Linked DNA regions of Arabidopsis thaliana. The protein of the gene in region 3 interacts with the protein of the main gene of each other region in a pairwise test. Each region holds a gene or a part of one and is shown on either strand. Other genes may lie near its edges.

Region 1 (7,103 bases), on a different chromosome or scaffold from region 3:
TTGACTTTTGAATAGCTGATGAGAGATAAACATCGATGTACTGAATCTAATGCCTTCTAAGTATATGGTGGACAACGATATTGTATAACTGATTGATCCAACGATTTGTTGCGGAATATGGTTTAGGTAACAAAATGATGATAGAAGAGACGAAACGTAGTATCCACGATGCTCTGTGTGTGGCTAGGAATCTCATCCGCAACAAATCAATTGTTTATGGAGGTGGGGCAGCTGAAATCGCTTGCTCACTTGCGGTTGATGCAGCTGCTGATAAATACCCTGGCGTGGAGCAGGTAAAATATGATCTTTCCTCTTTGATACCCTGAAATGAAATCATTTGTTTCTCAAATTGTAACTCTGAATACTAATCATGTATAAATACTTCCTCATTTACAGTATGCAATTAGGGCGTTTGCAGAAGCTTTGGACTCTGTCCCTATGGCTCTTGCAGAGAACAGTGGATTACAGCCCATTGAGACACTCTCTGCGGTTAAATCTCAGCAAATTAAGGTTAGTAAACGACGAACTTTATTATCTATATCATTGACTTGCTTGTTCGGTGACTGAACAAACATTGGGTTTTGATGAACAGGAGAATATTCCCTTCTATGGAATAGATTGCAATGACGTGGGAACAAACGATATGAGGGAGCAAAATGTGTTTGAAACATTGATCGGGAAACAGCAACAAATTTTGCTAGCTACGCAAGTCGTTAAGATGATTCTAAAGATCGACGATGTCATCTCCAATTCTGAATACTGATTTGTTGCTACCTTTGTCCTAACCTTTGGCTTCTTCGGTGTTTTTTGTTTGCTTTCTATTAGCTTTTGATACCCTTCGACATCGTTATCCTTGACTTGTTCCCTTTGTTTTGCAACCTTCTATTTAAGAACATCGTCAGATCTTAATTTTTGTGTGTACTTGTCCACAGATCGAAGCACTCGTTTGCATTTTCTTTTCGATTTAGTAACTGATGCAGGTCTCATACTGTAGACTAAACTATTATCGTATTAGTGTAACACCAGTGAACGAGGACAAAAGTAATTGTTTGCTTGTACATAAGAACATAAGAAATATGAAACCAAGCTTCGAAGGCTTCAAATACCCATCTGCTATGGTCTTTGTACACAAAATCTAAACCCTGAAGACTAATGTTTCCCACTCTTAAGATCTATAAACTTCGAAATCTGTTGCAGAGGGACTACAAGGCCTGAGTACCAAGATTTCTCCTCGTCTTATTCAAATCTCAATTCCTCTTTGTTTGTTTGGCTTCGCCTTAAGACATGAAAACATGAGTCTTTACCTCTTCTCTGTTTCATGAGAATGCTGTTGTTCTGTATCATGGCCAATGCCGAATGTCCCATTCGTAGTCTCGTCCTTTTGAATGGATGGCTTCCCATTCACAGCTACTGTGCCATCGGATGTTTCATCCACAGCAGAAAGTTCTGTTTTTTTATCATCTTCAGCGACAATGGCTGTATCAGATTTTTCATCTTGTTCATGTGCTTTGTCTGTATTTTGATTAGATAGAGCTGCTTCAGCTTTCTGCCTCTCTTCTTTTTCTCGACGTCTCTTTGCTTCTTGCTCTTTCAGCAGCCTAAACCTGGGATCACATGGACGTGTTAGTACAAAAAAACAGCTTCTAGGAACGAATGATGACACATTTTAGAAGATTTGGTTACCTTTCACCAGGTTTGGGGCATTCTGGGGTCACCTTTTCACCACCCTTCTCTCTTGGTATTTTCAGTTCTGAAACAGACTTCTGAACTAGTGGTTCTGAAAAAGACTTCTCAATTTGTTGTGTTTTATCTTCCTTAGTGACCAAATTAGTGAATTTCTCCACTGGATTCTTAGCACCACCATATTTTTGAAGCCATACTTGCTGTGCCGTGCTCAAAATGTTGTTGGTCAGCCTGCAAAAACACTTTAAAACTGAGAAGAATAGCGAGTGGAAGCTGACCACTCACGAAAACCACAGAAAATTAGACTCACCAATAAAGACTTAAACCAGAAGGAACTGATAATGCAAAATAGCCAATCATCAGTGGAAGAAGCTTAGTCACTGCTTGTGAGCTCTTCATGGCTGGATCATTACTCTGACAAAAAATGATAAGAAACATAAATTTCTCTGTTGCATAGAAGGATTTCGTTGTTGATTGAATTATACTTTAATGGAATGAGCTTTCAGCACAGGCACCAATGTGGTACACATTTTCAACATAGACGTAACTACTAATAGACTATTATCACATATTCCACATGATGCTATACCTGCGAGGACTGCATAATTTGAATGGAGAGGTATTGAGAGAAGACGAGCAATAGAGGTAAGACAAGATATGCTAATGTGTCTGGCCATCCGAGAGGTGGGTGTCCCTCCTGAGAAATAAAATGGAAATTTGTAGACATCAGCGATGAGGTCCGACACCACTCCCCTCAAGTTTTCTTCAATAATTCATTTTAATCAGTTTTATATGCTTGAACAATTAAACTGAATAAGAGTTCGTAAGAACTATGAGTCTAGTCTAGATTCCATTTTCGAAATATCAAGTTTCAAATGATACTTACAATGAAAGGGAACAGCCATGAGATTCCACTGCCATTCTGTCTTGCAGCAACAGTCGTTGGACCAGCAAGAGAAGGTATCCAGAAAAAACCTTCCGTTAAGAGCCCCTAAAGTTAGAAACAAGCATCCAACTACTTGTCAAAAAAGAATCTCAAGGCACTTACAGATACAAAAGGATATAGTTATTTCCAGGTACCTCATCTGCAACATTTGAGAGGGCTCTATATAGCCCAATCCAGACAGGTATCGTGGCTAGTGTGGGGAGGCAGCCTAACAGATAAATGAAAATATAGCTTAACCATAAATGTTGTCTCAAATGGAAAAACATACGATAAGCTGAAGTAACATACTGTACCTGCAAGGGGATTTATTCCAGCAAGCTTATACAATCTAGCAGTTTCAAGCTGAATTTTCTCCTGCAAAGATAAACAAAAATAAAGAAGCTATTTGTTTAAACAAGAGGGCTATATTCATACATAGTAAAGCTATAATATTTGTTATATTCATTAGTATCCCTCCACAATTGTGGAACCAATAGCAACACACATGTTCTTACTTTTTCCTTAACTCCATCAACTAAGAATTGATGCAAACATAACTTAGTATAGCATCAGGACAAATAAAACCCATGTGTACAGTATAGAAGAATTGTTTTTCACCTGATCACCAGCATACCGTTCCTGAATAGCCTTTATTTGAGGCGTCAAAGATTTCATAGCCATGGCAGATTCAACCTGTAGAGAATAAACCACCAATTCAATAACATGGACTAAAAATGATATCATGGCTTAGCAGCAATAGAAACAAACTAAAAACCTGTTTTTTCGTCAATGGGAACGTAGCAGCCTTAACAAGCACAGTCAATAGAATGATAGCGAAACCATAGGAATAAGGAACATGTACAGTTGATAACCCATCTTTCAAAACCTGCAATCCAATTCAAAATCAATCATATAGCTACACAAAAATTCATTTCTTTCTAAACCAAAAAAGACAAAACTTTTAATACCTTGAGAATAGTTTCCATGTAATTAGCAATACCAGAGAACCAATCATTGCTCTGGGTCGTTTTGGTAGTAGTGCCGGCGACAGATTCAAAGGTTTCAGAGGACGAAACGGCGGCATCAGCGATCGTGTACAGCAGATTCTCGGCATGGTCCTTGATGAAATCAAAAGAATCTGGTCTGAACCCGAGTTGAGCTACGAGAGTCCGATAACGAGACGACGACGACGACGGTGTGTGGCTGAAACGGGAGCGGCGGAATTGGAGGACTTTGCCTGTGGAGAAAGAGGAGAGGATAAGGTGCGTCGGCTTTAGGGATATTGTTGAAGACATCTCTAGGGAGAAGAAGGAAGGAGAGTTTTAGGGTTTTGGTTGAGAAGACAAAATGGGGAAGATTTGGATTTTGTTGGCAGTATTGTTGTGTTGTTGTGTTCTTGCTTTGCGTCTCAGTGTGCGAGACCGACCGAACTGAGAAGTGGAGCAAACCAAATTTTGTTTTTCTGATTTTTTAAAACTAACAACACAAACTATATATCTCACCTTTTTTATTGACTTTTTCTAGGGTAAATATAACAACATAAACTATGGCTCCGAATGGTGACTGTGTTTTGCGATGCGGGAAAAGTGCAGTGCGGTTCAAATAATAACAAAAATACATAAATACATATATATATGTAAAAATTTTGATATTGTTACAACACTGTTACGATACGGTTTTGGATACGGTTTTAGTCACCATTCACAACCTATAAATCACTCGTTAACAACTATAACCAATTAAATTCTACAACGAAAAGTAACACTAATATCTATACCCGAACTTTGGTGGAGAAAACCATAGAGATAAACATTTCATGATTGTTAGTGATTTTTGTTTAAGTATAAAAATATGTGAAACATACGATGAAAAGACTGAAATAGTATAAATTACATCTAACAACCAATAAATCAGGAGAAAAAAAGAATAACATATATTGGAGGGTGATGAGTGATGATGGATCCGCATGTAGTAGATGTAAGTCGTCGTCATTGCCCAGCATTCACTACTGTTGCGTTTCCCATATTCACTTGTAAACTTATATTCTGTTTGAGTGGCACTGCAACCATAAATAAATATTTATATACATTAGTTAATTCAAATAAAAATTATAGTAGAAATTCAAATTAATAAGATTTATTGCAATAAGTTTATAAAAATAAAAATAAAAGGAGAATACGAACATTCTGATTCCGGGTGGCGCCTAGGTTTGATGAAATATTTCCAGACGCCCCAACCACCAGCTCCAAGACTTAACAAAGTCGGTAATGAAATTCCAAGAGGTAAAGCTAAGTTGCTGCTGCTTTTCTCCTCTCCTGATTTACCTGAAGAATCTTCATACACAAACACAAACGTACCACATATTAGACTCGAACCAACGATCTCATATCATTTGATAACAATAATAACATGATTATTAACATCCAAAGCTTCATAAATGTTTTTTTTTTATATATAAATGATATTGTTATACGACAAAAACTTTGAAAATAATCTCTAGAAATTGTCCCAAACTATATTAAGTGACTATTCTTCTAAAAGTCCTAATATGGAAAAAAACATCTTAATTAAAAAAAATATTGAGAACTGATATGCCTGCAGATTTTTCATCTTCACTAGCTTTGTTGGTTCCTCCATCTCCATTATTGCTTCCTCCTAAAATATCGTTCAAACGAAGAAAAGTGACTTATAATTTTAGTTTTCAGTTTAAGTCAATTTTCTTACGGAGCTAGTAATTTGGAGAGCATGTTTTTGACCAATCTATCTAGAAAAATGACGGCTCAAAGTCGGACTAAACCGCCTCCTAGTCGGCTATGTTTTACAATGAAAGTTTTTGGTTAAACACTTCCCATTCTTCTAACCTTTAAGCCTAGTTATGATCTTGCATGTTGATAAAAGGCAGTTGATCGTCAATAACTAGAAGCTAAATCTTGCATCCTAATTAATATACCCACACGAGTTCCTCCCTTTCAATTCAGTATCCATATATTTTAAAGAACCACTAGAGTAGAGTTACTTATATATATAGATTTATATATTAATATATAGATTGATATCTTTTCTACAAAACAAACCGTTTTCTTATTATTGTCAGAATTAGTAGCCTCTTCTATTCATTATTTATCTCAAACCAAAATTATTAAAATTAACCGTATTTTACAACATATATATAAGATAATGAAAAGAATAATTACCGGATTTGCCTCCACCACCGCCCTTGCTTGGGCTGCCACCACCACCGCCTGTGCTAGGGGGGCTGCCACTACCACCGCCAGTGCTAGGGGGGCTGCCACTACCACCACCAGGACTAGGGCTGCCACCACCGCTCGTGCTTGTTGAATTCGTCCCGTTTCCACTTCCACCACTATTACTAATGACATAGAGCTCGAGAGCGTTGATGAGTGGGTCCAAAGTCGAGTCTGGTGTAGCTTCAAAAGTCAGATAGGCAAGCTCAGTCTTCACCACATCCCTCAAAGAAGCTTGAGTCACTGCCCCGAAAGGTGGCACAATTAGATCTGAACCCACTTGCTTGTCCTCATAGTAAACATTGAAAGACCGCTTTTGGTCAGAACCAAGGCTTAGTGGTTCGGAGAAATAAATGACAATGTAAAATGTCACTCCAGAAAAAGGTAGCTTTATATCATAGAAAGCCATGTCCTTCTGCGACCAAGAAGTCCGAAGGATAATCTCTGGTGGTCGATTGTCAGCTCCTGTTGTGTCGATAGAAGTGGCAGAACTTGTTAGATGTGAGGCAAAAACCGATGCTGGCATCCATATTCTATCATAAGGATCATATGGGAACCTGAAAATGTGGGAATTTATGTTAGAAATTCGCTATAAATTTATGTTTAGGTTTTATTCATTTTATATCTTTCCTTATCATGAAGTCCCGGGACTGATGAAAGAAAAAAAAATAGTTAAATTGATTTTTATTTACCAAATGCTAGTTGGTTGTTCCTTGACTTTGGATCTACGTACGGTTAGTTTTCCAAATATAGTTAACTCCGGTTTAATTCTTCCATGAACAACATGGTATAAAGCAAACTGGTAATCGCTAGAGTAAAATCCGATGATTTTTCATATGTATATGTATGTTTACCTTACTAATTCCTGCGCACCGTAGGCGATCCTTTGCTGGAGGATGAAACCTTCCTTAGGGCCAAGATCGGTGTACATAGAGTCGTCCAACCTTCGTACTTCAATGGTAGACACAAAAGGGGTTTTGCTAGAAAGCGTACGGAAAAAGCAAACACTGATATTCCCGTTTTCAGGAATAAATATCGCTTCCGATTCAGTAACGGTTTCAAATGTCGTTGTGACGACCGAATATCGATGTTTACCATCATACACTACATCGAATGTCGGATACGTGGATTCTTCATCATAATCACCATAGAGGAATCTCGTCCTAACTAAGACTTTCCCACCTTTTTCCACCGGAATGTTGGTGTAACAGTTGGTCTCTCCCGTAGGAAAATACCGGAGTGTGGTTAGT
Region 2 (7,203 bases), 2.1 Mb from region 3:
ACGAGAGAGACACCGTAAGAGGAGAAGTCGTGGTGACCACCGTGGTGGAGGTCGAACTGAGCTAGAGAAGCTGGTGGTGCCCCGCCGAGACCGTTGCATTCCAGGCGGTTTCCGCAGTCTCCGGTGAGGCAGGAGAATTTTCCGTTGTAGTGGGCACACCAGGTTCTGGCCCAGATGCGACCGGACCAGTGTGTGGTTGGAACGTTGAAGGAGCGGTGAGTGAAAGTTGGGAGAGCGAAGCCACCTTTCTCTAGGACGGGGTGGCCGGCGTTGGGTTGAATGGCTGGCCAGACAGTGAAGGGACAGTTGTTGACGACGGTGAGGAAGAGACGGGAAGTGTCTACGGCGGAGGAGAAGGAGATGAGGAGGAGGAAGGAGGCGGCGAGAGGAAGAGAGGTTTTAGCCATTGTGTAGCTTTTGGTGTGAAAGGTGTGCCAATGCGACGTGTGTGTATATAAGCTAAAGTATTTTTCGATATGCATACATTTTTTGGAGTGACGAAAATACCCTTTGGATGTTTTGGGTGGTTAGGCAATGAATTTAGCATGTGGGTTTAAGGAGGCGAAGGGCTTTAATGTCAGTTTAAAAGAGATGAATATTGGATTCTATTTCTATGAGTCAAAAGCTTGAAAGCTCTTTAAAGAATAAAATGATGGCATGTGGTTTGTGACTAACGAAGCTTTGTTTCCTTCATTGGTAAACTAATCCTAATGTGTGTTTTTGGTAAATAGCACTATTTCGGATGGTTGAAAAATAACATATTCTGAAAATATTAGGCAGATATATTAATTTTTAGCTGTTTCCAACAGTTTTGCTTTTCTAGGATAGTAAGCATTCACATATGTAATGTTTACAAGTTACAATGAGTAAACCATAATGCAAACATTTTAGATGGACCGATTGATTTATGTGTTCTAAACTTCTAAACCTATTGAAATGTACACTCTATTACATGCTATGTGACTCATGATTGTAACAACATGACAACTTTCTCTGAATATTAGTGTAATGTGGCTACACTGACAAGTTATATTCGTTCAGATTAGTAACAGGGTTCTTTGACAAACACATCAAAACGACAAACACCAAACGACAACACGACAAAACAAGATGTCTTTTGTCTACTTGTACAACTTCGAGAATTTGAAAATCGTGTAACCATATCTTGGGCCTCAGCCCAATCCAAATCGTAATATTTTTACCTCTCTCTATTTTATCCATGCCAATCCAAAGAACAATGCTTCTTTGTCAGGAAGTAATTGTTGTTTATTCATGGGGAATCGTTGTCTCGTTTATTGCACAAATTACTATACTACTTGATTCACATTTACCATTTTTATAAGCTGACAAAGCTAATAAAAGCACCAAACAAATAGATTGCAAGTTTACAACAACGAAATGCTAACAAAACTGAAGCGGGCATGTTGAAAAGTCATAATAGTACACACATTTACGTTAATACATTTATAATAAGATGAATCACATAAACAATTTACTTTGATCAACTACTGCTTTTAACTTTAGAATGACCTTTTTGTGCCCTAATATTAGATAATTACCGGACATGGTGTATGCAAATATATATCAAAAGATCAAACTAAGGAACAAGATTCAAATCTCTCTCTTTTCTCTTCCTTACTTGCAATTTCGTTTGCTTTGGTTCTATACAGTGCGTTTCCGCTTCGATCTTTTGCTTCTTCGTTGGCCAACCTCAGGAAGCGGCTTGCTTGTTGTGCTCGAAGCTAACGCTCCTTCACGAGCCTCTTCTTCCTCATCATCAGACCCTTCTTCTGATTCAGACTGAGATTCTTCTACCAATTCAACTGTATCTTTCGCAACCGCCTTGTTCTTCTTGCTGCGCTTCTCTTGCTCTTTTAATTGTCTAAATCTGTTGTGATCCAATATACATTTATCAGAAATAACAAACTTGTAAGAAAAACGCTTCGTATTGAGAGATATAATCTCCACTAGACTCGGGATTCACTTACCTTTCGCCAGCATCGTCAGGCTGAGCAATAGATCTCTTTGCTCGTCCCGCACTTATTATTTTGCTTGCGTTTTCATCCATATTTGGCTTTGCACCACCTAGTTTACGCAGATATACTTGTTGGGCGGTACTAAGTACATTATTTGTGAGCCTAAAACCATAGGATGGTTTAACATAAGCAGTAGCATAATAAAAAGGGAAAAAATAAAACTCAGATCCTACCAATAAACACAGTCATATACAATAATATTGATGTTACAAAATGTAGTCACACTAGATGATTCCTTATCAAACAAGCTTCGTATTCCTCGAAATTCTAACCCGTCTTACGTACATTTTGAGAATGAAGCCATCTAGGTTAATTACTAGAGAAAATCTTTCTTATACTCCATTTAATGAGTAGATCAAGGGCATGGATAAAACAGTTAGATGAGAAGTTTCAAGGAGAGGGAAACCAACCAGTAAATAGATAGTCCTGATGGGACAGACAATGCAAAGTAACCGATCATGAGTGGAAGAAACTTGAAAACAAGAAGCGTATTCTTCTGTGCAGGATCATCAGTCTGACAAAAGAAATTAAATTCGGTTTCAGAACAATCATATCAAATTGTTTAAGTAACAGGAAAAATAAAAGAAACTTGTGTTTATTTCTCACTTGAGGAGGCTTCATAATTTCCATTGACACATACTGGGAGGCAATAAGTAGAACAGGTAGAACAAGATAAGCTACAGTGTCATACCATCCCAATGGTGGATGCCCGTCCTGCACCACCGAACGATATTAGACACCAATTTGATAAAGGTTCATTGCACAGCAAAAGACTCAGTTGTATGAAATTTTTTAGTATAAAGATAAGTATCAAATGAGAAAACGTATTCACATAAAGTTTTTTTCTTCCATTACCACAAACGGAAAAAGCCACGAAATGCCGGATCCACTCTGCCGAGCAGCTATAGATGTTGGTCCACCCAGAGATGGAATCCAAAAGAAACCTTCTGTAAACAATCCCTACAAAAAAAAAGTTTTTAGAACAATTAGTAGTTGAAAGAGACAAACTTATCCGGTCTCTAGCGAAATCAGTAGTTGAAAGAGACATAAGGTATATGTACCTCGTTGGCCACGTTAGAGAGAGCTTGGTATAAACCAATCCAAACTGGTATGGTTGCTAAAGTTGGTAAGCAACCTAACATAAAAAAAACAATAATGTGCATATGTCACCACAATTCAGGAAGGGAATACAAAACTCGTAACTTCTAAAAGAAAGTACCTGCCAACGGATTAACACCAGCTTGTTTATACAATCGCGATGTCTCTAGTTGTATCCTCTCCTATATATCCAAAAACAGAACAAACAAATCAGACTCGTCATCCACAAGTAACTCATTCTCTATCCAAAGAAACTCACCTGATTTCCTGCGTAACGTTGTTGAATCGCTTTGATTTTCGGTTGAAGATTTTGCATCGCTAGTGTTGATTCAACCTAAAGGATTCCAAAACAAAAGCAATGCTCAAAAATTCTCAACCAACATGCCAAAATTGAATCAAAGTGACAAGAGGAGCTGCAAAATTCAACTAATCACACTCACTAACCTGTTGCTTAGTCAAAGGATACGTCGCTGCTTTGACGATAATCGTAAGCAAGATAATCGCAAATCCATAAGCATAAGGTACATGAACCGCTGATAATCCATCCTTCAAAATCTAAAAATCCAAACCAAAAAACTTAAGCTACAAATACAATTTCCAGAATTCTACACACAGAGATCGAAATTAGCAGCTTAAAACTCACCTTAAGAACCAATTCCATAGCATCGGAGATAAAACCAAACCAACCACCACTCTTCTGCACGGCGGATGAATCAGTAGTTACGACGGAATCAGCACCAACAACGGCGGCGTCAGCTATTGTATAGAGAAGAGATTCAGCTCTGGTGAAAATCGCTCCGATGTCTACAGATGAATCCAAGCCATGGAAAGGAGGAATCTCGTTTAAGCTGAATCGTACGGTGGTTGAAGTAGTGAAGAGTTTGTTATTATTACTCCGGTATGGAAGAAATTGAGCGGTTCCTCCTCCTCCTACTCCACTGTGACGGAGAGATGACGACGGTTTAATCAACGGTGAACCGAAGAATGAAGATGGAGACGAGACTAGAACTCTCGCCATTGGAGCTTGAGAGGAGGATGAGAAGAGACGAAGAAGAAGATAGAGATTTTTATTTTTTTATTTTGTAAATTTTTTTCTGGATTTATCTTTTTTTGAAAATAAATTGGAAAATGAAAATGAGAGACGAAGCTGGTGATCGCGCGTGGTGGAGATTACATCCAGTCATAGGAGTCCACGTGGACATGTATCTAACGTGGGATATATCGGTGCTTTTTGTAGTTTGGGCTTATTAGGGCCCATTTTAGAAACAGGCCTGCTTAACTTAATAGGCTTAATTACCAATCCATCAATCTCCAAGCTCAATGCATGGATCACTTCCCCAACACAAAATAAAACTGAAAGCATACAAAATAGAAACCGATTTAGAAAATACTTTATGTAAATACTTTTCTATAAAAATCAAATCTCGAATGCTTTGTGAATGTATGGTAAGCTTTTCCACAAAATATATATAATTGTGAAGAAAAAGCTGCGTACTCTCTTTCAATTAGTTGACATCGAATCTGATTCTCACACCACCACCTTTCTTACTTTTATTTCTTGTCATTATCACTTTCTTTCCACGTTTTATATTATGTAGTTTTTATAAACAAAAAAACAAATGAACTAATCTGAAACATTTATCGAGAACCTATACACAACCCTAAAAAGGTAAGCTTGAGTCATAGGACTTAACTTCCCAAAGCCATAATCCGGTTCCCAAATCTTCATAACTTACGAAATAGTAAGTGATTACAAGGCCTTTAAAGATTAATCCCACAAAGAAAATGTATTTAACACTAGAGCTTGATCGATGTCTATAATGAGTTCAGCCTAAATAATGGTCGTAAATAATGCTCTCTAACGTAAGATAGTTATAAATTACGCTTTGAGTCCCAAGTCTAGTGGAAAAAACAAATGGGATAGAATTTTCATGCTTTTAGGGAATTAAATGTGACCGCAAATGGGACTAAGTAAAATCTTTTGGATAATGATCTCTAGTGTTGTATAGATTTTAGGATCCTAATCTCTCAGTTAATAAGCAAAAAGAACAAGGTTTAAATGTTCATAGAGGGATTCGTTCCTTAATCTCTAGCTCAGATCGATAGCTTCAAAACCTATAATCAATAATCTCTCAATAATTTTTTACCAAAAAAAACAAACCTATAATCACCGGCTCGCTCTAAGTGCACACCCATACGTTTATGTGATGTAATATTCAACAAAACATAGCTAACGTTATGAGTTTTTTTAAGCATCATACTGAATTAAATATCTTCCACATTGTTTTCAAGAATCATCCACCGTTCCTCAATTATATTTCACACGTCACGATCATATATAGACCTATACCAAATACTATATATAGAAATTAAATTTAAAGTTGTTTTGAAAATAATTATATTTGTTATTATTATTTTTCGTTGTGAAATAATTATTTATTTCATAATTTGTTTTTTAACATAAATTTTTGATAGAAATGATGATGTTGTAAGTTTGACAAAAAAAATAAAAAAAATGATGATGTTGTATTTTTTTCTTAATTTTATATGACAACGAACGATTAAGAGTTCGTATTTATTGTTTTATAACATAACGACGTCGACACAGAACTTTCAAGGCTAAACTCACTTTTTGATGGAGACGTAAGAATAATTTATGGGTAATAACTCATTAATTTGTTACTAAATAGAAATTATTTCTCTAAAATGCTTTTCAATTCATATACAAAGGATACATAGGAAAATTATAAAAAGTAATATTTGTATGTACGGACCATCAGAATAATAACGTAATATTTTTTAATCAGGTTGCATATTACCTCGGGCTTCCATTGATTAATGGGTGCATAAGTAATTAAGTAAATTCATATGCAAAGTTAAGAGTGGTACAAATTATAACCGCATATGCGTTCTTTAAAAAAGTAATTATGAAAATTTGTTCGGCAGATGAAGCAAATGATTAGTACACCTATGCCAAATCTTAAAAAATTAGAATGGAAAGCGATATATGAAATTGAACGTAGTCATATTGAATTCGTAATCGAGACTTTCACTATTGTTTTTAAGAATGTTTGGACGAGAAAGAAGCTCATAAAGCAATAAATTAGTTAACGTTCATAATTGAAGCATTGACACCAGGAGAGAAAAAAAGAGCAATTCATTGCTTCCCTAGTAAAAAAAAAAAAAAAAAAAAAAAAAAAAAAAAAAAAAATCAGATATTTGTGGATAAAGAGTTAAAAGAAATTGTTTCGTCATTTTTTTCTGTCATAATTTCGTCAACTTTTTGTTTAACAATATGCATTATATAAATTTTATTAATAATAGTAACACATAGACACGATTGTAGCATAAACCACTAAAATACATGGTTTCAGTGTATCTAAGCTTTTGACATGTAGAAGTTCTACGTTTTTCATGATAAATTCGAAAAATTATTGAGAAATGATATATGGTCAAAATGAAGAAAAAAAGAGAGAAGATAACAACAAAATGGAGAAGGACAAGAGCACAAAAGAGATGAGTGGGATTATGAAAAGGTTTGCTGATGATTTCATGCATGATCAACTAACGTTAAAGATTATTTGTTTTTAGGGTAATAATACAACATATACGCCATTTTAGGCAATCTCTTTCTGAAAAAGATGTTCGCATTTATATACGAAACGACTGATTATTAAAGATATATACTACATACAACAAAATCGTTAGGGAAAAGTAAAAGAGAAGATAAAATGTAGAGACAATTTGAAAGATCTCTTCTTTGTTCTTCTTTTGAAAATAAAAATAAAAGTAGACATAAAATAGAAGTTGTAAATGACAGGTTTCATCTTTTTCATGCTTTTTTTTCCCTTTCTTTACGTCGTTTGATACCGAGTAAAGTTATTTTCATACTAAGATTCAGTCATTATTCTTGTTAGAGTTATTGTTCTTATATATTGAAATATTAATATCAATAGGAAACGAGATTAGTATCATAGTTTTTTAATGATGACGTAGAACATTTATATTTCATTGAATAGTTAATAGTAGACAATCAATGGTTGTTTTATTGTGAATTTGGTTCACCCCT
Region 3 (5,491 bases):
GTGCATCGTATTTTTTATCCATCCCCGACAGAGAACATTGTTATGATTCTGCACTTTTCGTATTTTGTTTGGTGATGCGATTGTCTATAGGAGTTGATTTGTTGAGACCTGTTTAGTTTCTGTAACGTAAATTTTGAGTGTTTGTTTTTTCATGTTTTGATTTCACGAAATTGAAATCTGTGTGAAAAATCTGAAGTTTATGAATCTTCTCATGTCGAAATGTGAAGTGATTATGAACCTTTTTCGTAGGACAACAAAGTGAGGATCAAGTTCGGGAAGCGATCAAACGAGAAATTGAGAAAGAACAAATCCGTCAAGAGATCATTATCGCAGAAGCAGCGAGAAAACGAGAGCTTATAGCTGAGGTTTTACAAGAGATGGCTATCGAGAGAGAAATGGCGATACGACGAGTTTCAGACACGGAGATGTCTCTAGAGGAAAAGCTAACTATGTGGATCAATCAAAGGAAGCTTCCAAATCAAAATCAGAATCAGTTCAACAACTTTTTCAGACAGAAGTATAGTTACATTGATTCTCTGATCAACACAGGCTCTTACAACAGTCTACTTACATCACCAATGATGCAATTGCCTCAACTTCAGCAAATGTCTGAAGCTACCGGAACATCAATGTTGGAGTCTAATAAAGAGAATTTGATTGTATTGGTGAGTTCTTTAAGTAATGGTAAACATAAATGATAGAGTATATATAAGCCTTTGTTTCATATGTGTTCTCTTTGATTTCTCTATTGCAGAATAGAGCTGATATTATAGGAGCTAAGCCTAAAGCAGACAGTGTTGGTACCATGCAATTGCCTAAACTTCAGCAAATGCCTGAGGCTACAGGAACATCAGTTTTGGAGTCTAACAAAGAGCAGTTTATTGTATTGGTAAGTGTTTTACTACGAGTGTGATATCTCATCTTTTCTATCCACGTACTTTCCTTACTTGCTTATAACAAATCCTGACCATATGTGTTCTCTTTGATTACTATTGCAGGCTAGAGCTGATCCTGTAGGAGAAAAGCGTAAAGCAGAGGATATTCAAACTGGTTTGAACGAAGATCTTCAAGTGAAAAGGCCGAAAGCAAAAGAATCAGAAGCAAAGGCGATGTCTTTGGAAACCGGAGAAATAGTCTCTTCGAAGGTTCCTTGTTCAGGGAAACTTGGCAGTGGAAAGAAAGCAGAAGGTAAGCTAAGAACTAACCAGAAGTTTTGGTGTGAGATTTGTAAAGTTGGGACCTATTGTCAAATAGTCATGAGGGATCATGAGTTAGGTAAAAAGCATAAGGCTGCTGTTACACAACAGAATGAGACACCTGAAGCTGCTTCAACCTCCTTATCCCCTGCTTCCGTTACAGCACCGCAACCAGAAGCCATTAGAGTATGTGAAAATGCTAATCCGCAGGGTCAAAAAGTAGATGAAATTGCGGCGAAAGAAACAACGGGAAAGAAGACAAAAGGTGAGAAGAAAAAGAAGGAAACGGTTTGGTGCAAAACTTGTAATATTCAGACGAATTCTGAGCAGACGATGAGGAATCATACGCTTGGGAAAAAACACATGGCTTTGCTTGAGAAACAGCAGAATAAACTCATTACAGTCCCAGTGAGATCTCTGAATGCTGATCCAGGACAGAAAGAATCAGTATCTCTAGCAATGGATGATACACAAGGTAAGGTTCATTGCTTGGAGAAGTCATAGAAGATTCTTTGTAACTTTGTTAGATTATTTTATATCAACTTTTTTTACCAAAAAAACCTTTGTTAGGTCATGACAATATACCATGAGGAATCAGAGATTGAATTCATGAATTTATTTTTATTTTTTCTTATGCAATGTGACAGTAGGAGATTTGCATGATGTTTTTTTTGTTGTGAGATTGAGAATCATGAGAATAATAACCAATGCCATTAGAGAGACCAGAATAAGTGTATAGATCATGATTGCATTTTGGAGTGTGTGTTGTCTTATGCTTTTATCATATGTTTTACAAACTTACAACTGTACAAGCAGAGTATGTTTGTTTGGACATGATACGATGATAAATGTCTTCTTTCAGGAGAGGCCCAAAATGGTTTGCCTAGAGGTATTTCAAATGTTTGGGGTGAGTCTCTCTATACATAGAGGGTATATAGACAACTCCACAATCAATCAATAGTTCTTCTCGCAATACAGCTCCACAAGACCACAACACATATGACCATGTCCCATACATAGAACCACGAAAGATGGTTCTATTGTAGCATGTTTTTTTTTTTTTTTGGTTTAATGAAGCATGTTACAATCTCTGATAAAGTTTCATCTATACTAGAAATTGAATTTTTCGAAAATCGAATCAATATCTGATGTAAGAACATTTTACGTTTGATCACTCAATTTCGTACTGAAAGTGTATAAACTTTAAAGTTGCGACTTCTTCACTAGAAAAGAATGGTACAAAAACAATCTAAGCTCAAAAAAAGAGTTAAAGTGACGTGGCGCAAAATCATTGGTTAAAAGCTTCAACAAACACAGAAGCTACGAACAAGTTGCCCGGAAAAAATTAGCTTCCGGTTTTATCTTCTCGAATTTCAGAAAAAAAGCCCTTCTCTAATATCTCTCTACTCGTACAACAATGGCGTCGATGGCTGCAACCACCAATTTCACCAAATCTATGCTCTTTCCATTCTCTCATGGTTAGTCTCTCCTAAATCCCTACTTCTATCTCTCGCTTAAGGTTTCGTGACACTGGATTTTGAGTCTTTATGTATCTGTCGTACATTAGGTTTCATCTGAATTTGCTTAATCTTTCGTAATTAGACTTTTCTATTCCATAATTGGAGGAATTGAAGCGTAATTTTGTATTTATAAGTGTTTTTGGGATTGAAATGGGCTTTAGTAATTTTTTGGTTTGAATAGTTTCAGGAAATGCGAGCTTGAATTCGCAGAGAAGAACATGGCCAAAGCAGTACAAGTCTAAAAATGGTTACAGGTCTCTTCGAGTGAATGGATTATTTGGAGGTGGAAACAAAGATAATAACAGTGAAGATGGACAATCAAAGGTTGGTACATTACATTGGTTTTTTCAAATATCAAACAGATTCTGCAATAGGTGAACATTTTAAGTTAGGCTTCATGTTGTAAAGATTCAAAGTTTATGATTTTGGAACTAATGAAGTTTGTGTGTGATCTTTCCTAGGCAGGAATATTTGGTAATATGCAGAATATGTATGAGACTGTGAAGAAAGCTCAAATGGTTGTTCAAGTGGAAGCTGTACGTGTTCAAAAAGAGTTAGCTGCGTAAGTCCGGCACATTTATCATACAAAATTTGAGGAAGTTTTCTTCTATGAGTAATGAGTTTTGCATGTTGGTTTTGTTCCAATTTCGCAGCGCAGAATTTGATGGTTATTGTGCAGGCGAGCTTGTCAAGGTCAGTTTAGAGCTTGTTTTGGCCTTAAGATAGATCAATGCACATAATAGATCAGTGAAGTATTAACTAACGTTTACTTGATGATGTAAGAACTGTGTTTTCTGATTTGTTAGTCTTTGGATGATTTGGCAAGAACTCCACTCTAGAATCTCAAAACTTTGTTTAGTCTTTATTGTTTCTGTTACAAAGTCTGATGACCTAAACCTTATGAATTTGTGTCAGGTTACGTTATCAGGTAACCAGCAACCAATCCGTACTGATATTACCGAGGCAGCAATGGAACTAGGTTCCGAAGTGAGTAACCATACGTACCTTGTTATGGAACAGTCAAAGCTAATTCATCAGTTTCTCTTGTTGATGTTGTGTGTTTTCCTTTGGCAGAAACTATCACAACTTGTCACAGAAGCATACAAGGACGCACACGCCAAGAGTGTGGTGGTATAGCAATTTGCAGACCATTTATCACAATGCAACTAAAGTATTTGTTTCTATCCATTTCTTCTAATTGAACTTTGTGAATTTTTTCACAGGCTATGAAAGAGAGAATGAGTGACCTTGCGCAGAGCTTAGGAATGCCACCGGGTCTCAGCGAAGGAATGAAGTAAGAAGCTGTTTTTGTTGTTTCATTTCAACTTTCAGGTATGAGAGGTTCGGCTTTTTTTGTTTGTTTGTATATCAGTCAGGCAGAAGCAAAGAGCTTTGTACTCTACTCTTATGGAATTATATATAAAAGATTTGAAACTTTTGGTTTTCTGCAATTTTATTCCCAAGGTATCAACACAATTGTTCTAGTATCAACATATATCTTCTTCGAATACAAGAATGCTTTTAGTGTCTTATGAAATCAAGTTGATTTGAAACATAAAAATTTCAAAAGAAAACACCGAGTTAACTCGGGTTTTGGAGGGAGCCTTCTATCTTATGTGTGTGACTAATAAGATCTTGGAAGCTCTTTGCCGGCCAAGAACGATCTTAAAAGAGTGAGAGCACGCTCGGGTTGCAACACCGGCACTTCGTGGCCCGCCCCTCTTATCGTCGCAAAGGTAAGCCCCTCATATACCTCTGTCCATCCTCCCACCTGACACCACCACCATGAGAAATCACTAGCTCTGCATAATAAGAATAGAACCACGAATTTGATGAAAATTACCTGCTTTTCGGAGTACCAAGGGTACCAGGGAGTTTTCACCGGAAGATTGAGTTTACTGAGGGCAAGTCGAGTCCCAGTCACTGGAACCACTGCGTCTGTATCGCCACTACATCAACAAAATGTGGTTAAAGGACACGAAAGGTACTTTACTTGCAGCTAGTTTCATGGTTTACCTAAAGACCCAGATCCTCAAACCAGCGGCAGTGAGTTCCTTGTATATCGGCAACATTGAAAACTCGGAATCTTTCCAGTTGTTATTCACAACCATATTGCACAATGTCCACTTATAAGGAATGGAGGTAAGATTAGCGTGCATAGCTCGTTGCACATCAGGACGGTTGTAATATATCTCAGCGTAGCTTTCGGTACAAGGGTCGTACTCGTATTCCTCTACCAAAAGCCGTCCATGCAGGAACTTGGTCTGGTTGGTTTGATGTACACATGAGGGTGAGTAGATGCTGTACCCATTGACTTTGCCAAACTCTCTGTAGGCGAAGTAGAGTGCCCAATTGCACTTGTCCGAGGTTTTATCCGCAGTGAAGCTGCAGTGTTTGAGGATAGACTTGTAAGTTTTGTCAGAGATCATTGCGTGTGACCACGCATACATGGCGGCTCCTAATCTGTCGTAATGCTTGTCCATATCTCCATTTCCCACCTGTGCAAAAGAATATATATGCATTAAGGAGGGATTAAGGTTTCGGAAATGTGATAAATAGAACCGTAGTTTTACCATGAATCCTTTGAGGTTAATGATGGGTGTATTGTTGAAAGCTTTGTTGTAGAGATGGATCTTTTTGGCAAGCTGAGGAACATAATGACCTATAAAAGATATAGACATGAAAATAAGTCTATGGTCTAGAAAATGACTTAAATAAAAACCATATTAATTCTGACTTGCTTCAAGAGTGACATACCAGCGTAGCTTTCACCAA

The links.
Region 1: the proteins of AT2G24020 (region 3) and ALB4 interact in binary tests that used the Arabidopsis thaliana proteins (3 or more experiments, as listed by UniProt).
Region 2: the proteins of AT2G24020 (region 3) and ALB3 interact in binary tests that used the Arabidopsis thaliana proteins (3 or more experiments, as listed by UniProt).

Annotation. Positions count from the first base shown.
Region 1 is NC_003070.9:8,679,164-8,686,266, reverse strand, and holds ALB4 (OxaA/YidC-like membrane insertion protein), read right to left. Parts: upstream 4,073-7,103; 5' UTR 3,904-4,072; coding exon 3,577-3,903; intron 3,495-3,576; coding exon 3,384-3,494; intron 3,302-3,383; coding exon 3,227-3,301; intron 2,984-3,226; coding exon 2,923-2,983; intron 2,838-2,922; coding exon 2,764-2,837; intron 2,675-2,763; coding exon 2,570-2,674; intron 2,381-2,569; coding exon 2,273-2,380; intron 2,098-2,272; coding exon 1,994-2,097; intron 1,915-1,993; coding exon 1,684-1,914; intron 1,605-1,683; coding exon 1,301-1,604; 3' UTR 996-1,300; downstream 1-995. Other genes in the region: AT1G24510 (TCP-1/cpn60 chaperonin family protein), read left to right, coding at 127-293, 397-510, 593-763; AT1G24485 (ER protein carbohydrate-binding protein), read right to left, coding at 4,373-4,667, 4,788-4,941, 5,204-5,263, 5,803-6,410, 6,708-7,103. UniProt on the Arabidopsis thaliana protein: Required for the insertion of some light harvesting chlorophyll-binding proteins (LHCP) into the chloroplast thylakoid membrane. Plays a role in the accumulation of some cytochrome b6f components in the thylakoid membrane.
Region 2 is NC_003071.7:12,355,007-12,362,209, forward strand, and holds ALB3 (63 kDa inner membrane family protein), read right to left. Parts: upstream 4,563-7,203; 5' UTR 4,153-4,562; coding exon 3,778-4,152; intron 3,690-3,777; coding exon 3,579-3,689; intron 3,469-3,578; coding exon 3,394-3,468; intron 3,317-3,393; coding exon 3,256-3,316; intron 3,172-3,255; coding exon 3,098-3,171; intron 2,997-3,097; coding exon 2,892-2,996; intron 2,751-2,891; coding exon 2,643-2,750; intron 2,551-2,642; coding exon 2,447-2,550; coding exon of another isoform or gene 2,413-2,446; exon of another isoform or gene 2,139-2,412; coding exon 1,989-2,138; intron 1,889-1,988; coding exon 1,663-1,888; 3' UTR 1,315-1,662; downstream 1-1,314. Other genes in the region: AT2G28790 (Pathogenesis-related thaumatin superfamily protein), read right to left, coding at 1-482. UniProt on the Arabidopsis thaliana protein: Required for the insertion of some light harvesting chlorophyll-binding proteins (LHCP) into the chloroplast thylakoid membrane.
Region 3 is NC_003071.7:10,216,392-10,221,882, reverse strand, and holds AT2G24020 (Putative BCR, YbaB family COG0718), read left to right. Parts: upstream 1-2,414; 5' UTR 2,415-2,613; coding exon 2,614-2,674; intron 2,675-2,897; coding exon 2,898-3,040; intron 3,041-3,177; coding exon 3,178-3,278; intron 3,279-3,369; coding exon 3,370-3,409; intron 3,410-3,631; coding exon 3,632-3,703; intron 3,704-3,790; coding exon 3,791-3,847; intron 3,848-3,939; coding exon 3,940-4,014; 3' UTR 4,015-4,182; downstream 4,183-5,491. Other genes in the region: AT2G24030 (zinc ion binding / nucleic acid binding protein), read left to right, coding at 250-665, 755-889, 999-1,700; scpl23 (serine carboxypeptidase-like 23), read right to left, coding at 4,341-4,487, 4,560-4,665, 4,733-5,214, 5,290-5,378, 5,474-5,491. UniProt on the Arabidopsis thaliana protein: Participates with ALB4 in thylakoid protein targeting. May function with specific subset of thylakoidal proteins. Binds to DNA and alters its conformation. May be involved in regulation of gene expression, nucleoid organization and DNA protection.